2 linked regions of the Oryctolagus cuniculus genome follow. The protein of the gene in region 1 interacts with the protein of each later gene in a pairwise test. Links are inferred from orthologs where the notes say so. Each region holds a gene or a part of one and is shown on either strand. Other genes may lie near its edges.

Region 1 (3,271 bases):
GGCCAGCACCAGCCTGCGTTATCTGTCCTGAGTACGTAACTGTTGGGCTTGTCTCTGCTCTTTAATGATAGCCTCAAGAACTCAGTGTCTGGCCTCTCAGCCTCTGAGAGCCCCTGCTAGGGACAAGTGCGGCTGCCCAGTTTTTGGCAAGGCACACACACAGGTCTGACCCCATTAAAGAAGAGTGTGTCCCTTTGCTGCAGAGTGGAACTGAACCCGTGGGGCTGCAGTGCCCTCTACTGACTGCTCGGGGATCAGGCCGCACAGCTCGGAACCCCGCTGCGCAGCCTCCACCGCACCTCGCCCAGAAGCCCCGCTCCGCTGCGCCTCCCCGAGGCCACGGAGGCAGCCACCTCCACACTGAGCTCACCACGTGGCTAGGGTGGAAAAGGAGCCCCGCGTTTCCTGAATGATCCGAGAAATAAAAACGAAGAAAAGGAAGTTAACTGAAGATTTTTTTAAAATAAAATGAAAAAGATGGATAATATGAAATGGCAGAAAGCGATAACCTTTCTTAATCCCTTACCCACCCCCAGCCAAAAATAACAGAGCACACAGAAAGGAAAGTATAATTTATATGTACAACCAATAAACCTGATACAGAAGAGGGGATCGGGCAGACAGGAGCGGGTGTGGAGAGAGACTGGGAGAGGGGCAGCAAGAAGTGAAGGGGCAGCGCAGAAGTGGGGGGTTCGCCATGCAAACTGCCACTGTCCCCGACCCGTGGGGACGGGGATGTGCCCACATCTCCTGGCCTGCCCTCCACTATTTTGCTCTAGTCCCAAAGGCAGAACAGTCCCCTGACTAGGCCCCTTGCCTGACACACTCAAATGTGGTCTGTGTGCAGGCCCTCGGAGGGCGGGCAGAAGTCCTCCAGAAGCCGAGCCCTGGCCCCGGGCGTTCCCCCAAGGCTGGCCTGTGGTCTTCTCTCCCACCCTTTCTAGGTTACCTGGGTCCCTAGAACAGGTTGGGGAGCTCCTCTTTGGCTTGAGGGAGTATCGCCCAACCATTATTCTTTTTGTGTGTGGGGGGGTCCTTGGAGGGTTAAGAATCCCAACACAAGATGCCGGTACGCAGGAGGTAACAGCCAGTGAACGGCGCCTTTATTCTGAGGCTGAACAGCAATGGGCTCCCTCCCTCGTAACTGCTCCCCCCTCCGTTGGGGGAGAGATGGGGGGGTAACATGCAGCCACCCCGCCTCTTCCCTTTCTCCCTCCCAGCGTTCATTTCATCCCTCTCTAAAAGTCCCCCTCCTCTCTGCAAAGCTCTTCTTCCCCCACAAAATTTCCTAAAGGCCAGGCAAGGCTAGTCCCCTACGTCTGCAGGAGATGGAGCTGATATTGTGGTTGGGAGGGGGGGAGACCAGGGAGGCGCCGCCTCTTTCCTCCCCACAACCGCTTACTGGGAAGCTGCGTCTATCTGGCAGTGGGGGGATCAAGGTACACGAAGACCCTGCGAACAGTCCCCCACCCAGGGCTCTTCTCACCGGCACAGTCCTCAGAGCTCGGTGGGACAGGTGCGGGGGCGTGGAGAAAGACAAAGGGCCCTTCCTGAAGACAGGAGTTGCAGAGAGGGGCCGCGGGGCGCCTAGTCCAGCGGTGGCCCCAGGGGTGGGGAAGGCGGAGGGTCGGCAGCAGGCCCCAGAGCCTGAGCAGGGGGTCGGCCTCGGGGACGGGGCCTGGGTGAAGGGCAGGCCTGGGGTCCAGTCAGTCGTCTATACAGATCACCTCCCCGGCTCGGGGCTCCTTCCGATCCAGCCCGTCTGGCACCAGTGCCCCCACCGCTTCCTTCTCCTTCTTCACCAGCACTGGAGGGCCGTTGGTGGCGGCTGTTTGCGAAGCGGGTAGGGAGAGGTGAACCCTGCGGCACTCCCAAGGTCGCATCCCGTCTGTCAGTCTCCTGCCACATGGTTCTCCTGGGAAGGGCTGGGGAGGCCTGCACGGAGCCCTCCCTCCTGCTGAGGTCCCCTGTTGTGCCGCAGCACTGAGCTCCAGTTCCAGCTCTTTCTATACCATTCTGACGTCACCTTCACCTACCCTTGAAGGGCCCCGGATGCAAGAGGCTTGGGTAGGAGCTAACCCAGCCGCAAAACTACCAAAACCCTGGGTGAGGTTTTTGACAATGGGGATGAAGAGGGGTTAAGAAAGGGATGGGAAGAACGGAGCCCAGGCGGCAGGGATGCGCCTGGCAAGGGAGGAGGGGAGGGGAGCGGCGGGAGCAGAAACCACGGCTCACCTGTGATGAAGGACCCTGCAGGCATCTGGCTGTAATTGGCGCCTGCGGCGGCCAGAGCCCCTACGGGGGCGGCGCTGAAGGCCACCCCGTACCCCGGGGGTGTGGCATAGGGACCCGGGGGGAAGGCCTGGAACAGAGAGGAGTCAGTCAGAGTCAGTCCAGGGTCCTGGAGAGCCAGGAAGCTGCAGGGGCAACCACGCAGGCAGGGAGACTCACTCGGGGGTGATGACTGCGTCTAGCAAGTTGTTTTTCCACACTGTTTAGGATTCTGATGGAGGTGTTTACATGTGTGCGTGAGGAGCACCCACAGGGAGAACTGGAGTTAGGGGCAAGAGGGTTACCGGTGTGGGGTGCGGCTCCGCGCCCTTGCTGGCCAGCCGGCTGAGGATGCTGCGCTCGGACATCTGAAGGCGGGCTGCGATGGGGGGTATTCTGGACAGCGTGGCTGGCAGGCGGGTCACGTCCGCCTTCATGTCGCTCAGCAACTCCTCCAGCTGGTTCAGAACTGGGGCCCGGGCCACGGAGAAAGAAGGGCAAGAGAAAGACAGGGAAAGAGAGAGGTGGAGCCAGGAAAAGACAGGAGTCAGGTAGAGAGAGAGACAGAGAGAGACAGAGAAAGGGGGCAGGGGTGTCGAAGAGCCAGAGACCAAGAAAGTGACAGAAGTATATGGAAAAAGGAAAGCAACTCAGGGGAAGAGAAGAAGTGTTAGGAAAAGAGACAGAGACCAGGCCACCAGAGGACAGAGAGAGGAAGAAGGAAGAAAAGGAGAACGTGGAGAGGAGGGAGATGGGGGGACATTGGAAGACACGGGGGCGGGGAGTTGTCAGAACATCCCGTACTGGAAGAGTGAGGTTTGGGGTGGGGGAGGAGGGGAGGAAACGGCAGGGGCACGGGAGGCGGGAAGTCGTGTCAAAGACTTAAGGAATCAAAGCTTTAATATGTCAGGGAAGAGGGAGGTTAGAGGATCAGTAAGTACAGATTCAAAGAATTATGAGGGTCACAGGGGCCAGGAGTCAGTCCCTCCGCCAGGCAGGA
Region 2 (3,740 bases), on another chromosome or scaffold:
GGGGCTCGAGCAGGGGGGCCGGCGGGCGGGGCAGGGGCGGCAGGGCACGCTCCAGCACGCGGGGCCCCTCCCAGGCGGGGATCGGCAGCCCCAGGTGCTTCATGAGCTGCGTCATGACGTCATCGACGTAGCCGTGGATACGCAGGTCTGCATGGCGGTCCTGCGGGGGGGGCACAGAGGGGTGAGGCGGGGCGGCCACGGCGGCGGGGGGCCGGGTGGCGGGGCGGCACCTACGTGCTTGGTGGGCTGCAGGTTCACGATGACCAGGCGCCCTCCGCGGCGCTTGGTGGCCAGCGGCAGGTTCCCACTGGGCCGGATCTGCAGCGAGGTCCCCAGAGTGATGGACAGGTCCGCGTTCCTGGGGGGGGGAGCCGGCTGCTGGGCCGCCACCTCCAGGTAGCCCTCCCGGACTTCGCCCAAGTCCCTGCTGGCTGTGTCTCCCCGTTTCCTCCCCCCGCCACTGTGAGCGCGTGGGGGTGCGGTGGGGGCGGGGAGGCAGGGGTCAGACCTGCTGGCCTCGTCGGCGAGGGCCAGGTCCCGGTCGGGGAGGGCGTCTTCCCAGTCCAAGATGGTGTCTCTCAGCTCCCCCCTGCAAGGCAGAGCGGGTGGGGGGTGCAGCCGGGGGCGGCTGGGGGGCGGGCGGGGGGCGGGGAGGCGGGGGGGGGCTCACCTGCAGGCCCGCAGCCCCCGGGCCTTGGCCACGGTGCAGAGGCGCCCGGTGGCCTTGAGGCCCATGCTGCCCACCACGGCGTCGCGGACGTACTGCCTGCGGGGGGAGGGGCGTGCGGGGAGGTGGGGGCGCGGCCCGGCCCCTCCCTCCCGGGGTCCCTGGGCGCCTGGAGCCACCTGCTCTGGGGGAGGGGCCGGTCCCAGCTCCGCCTGCGGCCCCGGAGCCCCGCGGGAGTTCAGACAGGGGCTCTGGGTCTGGGGCAGCCCTCGGCCCTGAACTTGGCCTCCACGGCCCGCGGACGGCCCCACTCACGTCTTGCACTTGGCACACTGTTCCACGAACATGTTCCCGTGCAACTCAGCCAGCTTGTCCCTGCGGGAGAGGCAGACGGAGGCTCCGGCTCGAGGCCGCCGCCTCCAGGAAGCCTGCCGGGACCGCTCGCGCGCCGCAGCTGCCCGCACCCCCCGGGGCCGGCGGTACCTGGGGAAGCCGGAGCGCACGTGCAGCCCGTCCACGTTCTGGCTGACCAGGAAGCGCAGGAGGCCCACGCGCTGCAGCTGCACCAGCGCCATGTGCGTCTGCGTGGGCCGCGCGCTCTCGAAGGTCGTGTCGAACTTGGGCGCCAGGCCGCGCTCCTCCATGGTCCACACGCCGTGGGGGCCCCTGGGGCGGCGCGCAGGGAGAGGGGGCCTGGGACTCAGGGCGGGGGGCGGGGCTGGCGGCGCCCTGGGCGACCCGGGCGCTGGCCCTGCCGCGACGCGCCCTCCCGCGCCCACTGACCTGAAGTCGGGGATGCCCGAAGCCGTGCTGATGCCCGCGCCCGTGTGGACCACCACGTTGGCCGACTGCCAGATGAGCCAGGCCAGCTCCCGCACCTTGCGCTCCAGCTCCTCGGGCGGGTCGAAGATCTGGCGGGCGGGGGCGCAGAGGGCGCGGCTCGAGCGCGGTGGCCCCCTGCCCCGGCCCCCTCGCTGCTTCTGCGCCGCCGCTGGCCACAGGACCTTTGCACGGGCCGTGTCCACAGGGACCGCCCCCCTCGCCGCCGCCTTGCCCCGCCAGCTGGGCTGGTGTCAGTGCGCCCCCTGTCTGTGCCCGCACTGGAGTGGCAGCTGCTCGGCTGGCTCGCCCCCCACCCCAGGCTCCGGGCCCAGCCCCCAGCCCCCAGGCTCCGGGCCCAGCCCCCAGCCCCCAGCCTGCGCCCGGCCCACAACAGGTGTCCAGTGAGTTCCGGGACAGGAGGAACCACACCAGCCCGAGGCGTGGGGCTCCCGCCGGCACCCGCAGCGGGGCCCGCCTGCCCGGGGAGGGGGCCCTCCTCGCCCCCTCCCACCCCGATTCACAGGAAGGGGGCGTGGAGACCCAGGAGGAAGTGGGGGGGGCGTGGAGAAGCCGGGGGTCGCCCCGCTCGCCCTCCCGGCCGACTCCCAGCTCGCGCCCCCTCCCCATCACCCCGGGGACCCCGGCCCAGCCCCCCCACCCCGGGCAGCCGCGCTCGGGGTCCCCGGCGCGCGGGGGGCGTCACTTCCCGCCCCCTGGGAAGTCCCTCCCCTTGTCCAGCCGGGCGCCCCTCGGTGTTCCCGCGATGCCCCGCCCGCGGCCCCCCGGGGGCGGCCACGCTCACCTCCGCCGGGGGCGGCCACGCTCACCTCCGGGAGGCCGCACTTGCCCTTGTCTGCGTACGGCGACAGCCCCGCCGCGTAGTTCACCGACATCCTGGCCGCCCCGGCGGGAACAATAAAGTTTCCCTTGTTGAGGCGGCTTCCGCCGGAAACGGGGTGGGGCGGGCAGGAAGGCGGAACCGCGTTGACGGACGCGCCTGCCGGGGCGCATGCGCGCGCGTCGCGCTGACGCCGCGGACGCCATCTTAAGTACTGGCAGGGAGGGAGCCCGGCTTTTGCAAGCCCCTGGGCTGGGGGCGGGGAGTTGCAGCGGCTTCCCGCGTGAGAGGTGGCCCCGAAATGAGGGCGCACAGCGCTCGGGGGCCCCTTGCCCTTTTTACTGATTAGTGAACCTGACGCAGATGTGCCCTGGACTCCATGCAGTTAGGGTCCCCGGGGGGCGCTCTGTGGTCCCTGAGCCTTATCCCGGGGGATTGGCCAGTAGGCAGCTGGACAGGTCACGCATGCTGCGCACCTACTGTGTGAGGGGCCTCAGAGGGGGCTCCTGCCCCAGCCTGGGGCATCCTGGAAGGCTTCCTGGAGGAGGCAGGCCAGGAGCTGGCTGAGGTGCCCAGGGCAGCCCGTGGCTCCTTCCAGAAACTGAAACCCAAGCAGTGGGGATGGGGGGAGCACGGCGTCTCCCCCCCAGCCTCGTGGCCAACGGGCAGCCCAGCTGCCGCCTGTCCCCTCCCTCGCTCATCCCCAGCCTCGCGGCCGATCGGGTGTCGGAGCCAGCCGGGCGCCGGGAGCCGCGGGTATCAGCTCCAGGCCCAGCTGGGAGCGGGTAACCGGAGCCGGCGGTGGGCACGGGGCACCGGAGCCGCGGGAGGTAGGCGAGGGGCCTGGGGTGGGGGCTCCACTTAGGTGAGAGGCAGGGCCGGGGCCGAGCTGCACCTGCCGGCGTCCACCGCGCCTGGGGGTCGCAGCCCCACCCTGCCTCCCCGGCCCGGCGCTTTGGGGACACGGAGGACCCCGGCCCCTCCGCTGAGCCCAGGGACTCCCACGGCCCAGGCCGCCTCTCGGGCAGGTGCAGGGCGCCCCGCCCCTACTCCCTGGCAGGAGGCCCCCAGGTAGGGGTGGTCCTTCCCCGGGGACCCCCCTCTCACGCAGCGCCCCCTGGAGACGCCCCGCGGGCCTGCACGCAGGTGGACGGGAGGGAGTGGGGTCCCGGAACCCGCCTCTGCCCAGAGGGGGCCCCGGGAGGGCCAGCGGGGGCGGTGGGGGCCAGCCTGCCTGTCCCTGCCCTCCGGGGTGGGGTCCCGCCCCCCCTGCCACCCCTGCCCCTCCCCAGGAGGCCCGGAGAGACGAGGCGAGGGGGACACTGGGCATGAAGACCCTCCGGGCGCGATTTAAGAAGACAGAGGTGGGTCTGAGGCCGCGGGGACCCCTGAAGCCCCCCACCCCGTCCCCTC

What was found.
Region 2: the proteins of CHD3 (region 1) and SIRT6 interact in a two-hybrid assay, tested with the Homo sapiens proteins (2 studies listed by BioGRID and IntAct). The link is inferred for Oryctolagus cuniculus from reciprocal best matches to the Homo sapiens genes CHD3 and SIRT6.

Annotation. Positions count from the first base shown.
Region 1 is NC_091448.1:52,452,928-52,456,198, reverse strand, and holds the end of CHD3 (chromodomain-helicase-DNA-binding protein 3), read right to left. Parts: intron 3,075-3,271; coding exon 2,577-3,074; intron 2,363-2,576; coding exon 2,236-2,362; intron 1,829-2,235; coding exon 1,588-1,828; 3' UTR 558-1,587; downstream 1-557.
Region 2 is NC_091447.1:59,690,048-59,693,787, forward strand, and holds the start of SIRT6 (NAD-dependent protein deacylase sirtuin-6), read right to left. Parts: upstream 2,458-3,740; 5' UTR 2,383-2,457; coding exon 2,317-2,382; intron 1,579-2,316; coding exon 1,451-1,578; intron 1,334-1,450; coding exon 1,151-1,333; intron 1,043-1,150; coding exon 983-1,042; intron 767-982; coding exon 671-766; intron 590-670; coding exon 509-589; intron 359-508; coding exon 235-358; intron 161-234; coding exon 1-160. UniProt on the Homo sapiens protein: NAD-dependent protein deacetylase, deacylase and mono-ADP-ribosyltransferase that plays an essential role in DNA damage repair, telomere maintenance, metabolic homeostasis, inflammation, tumorigenesis and aging.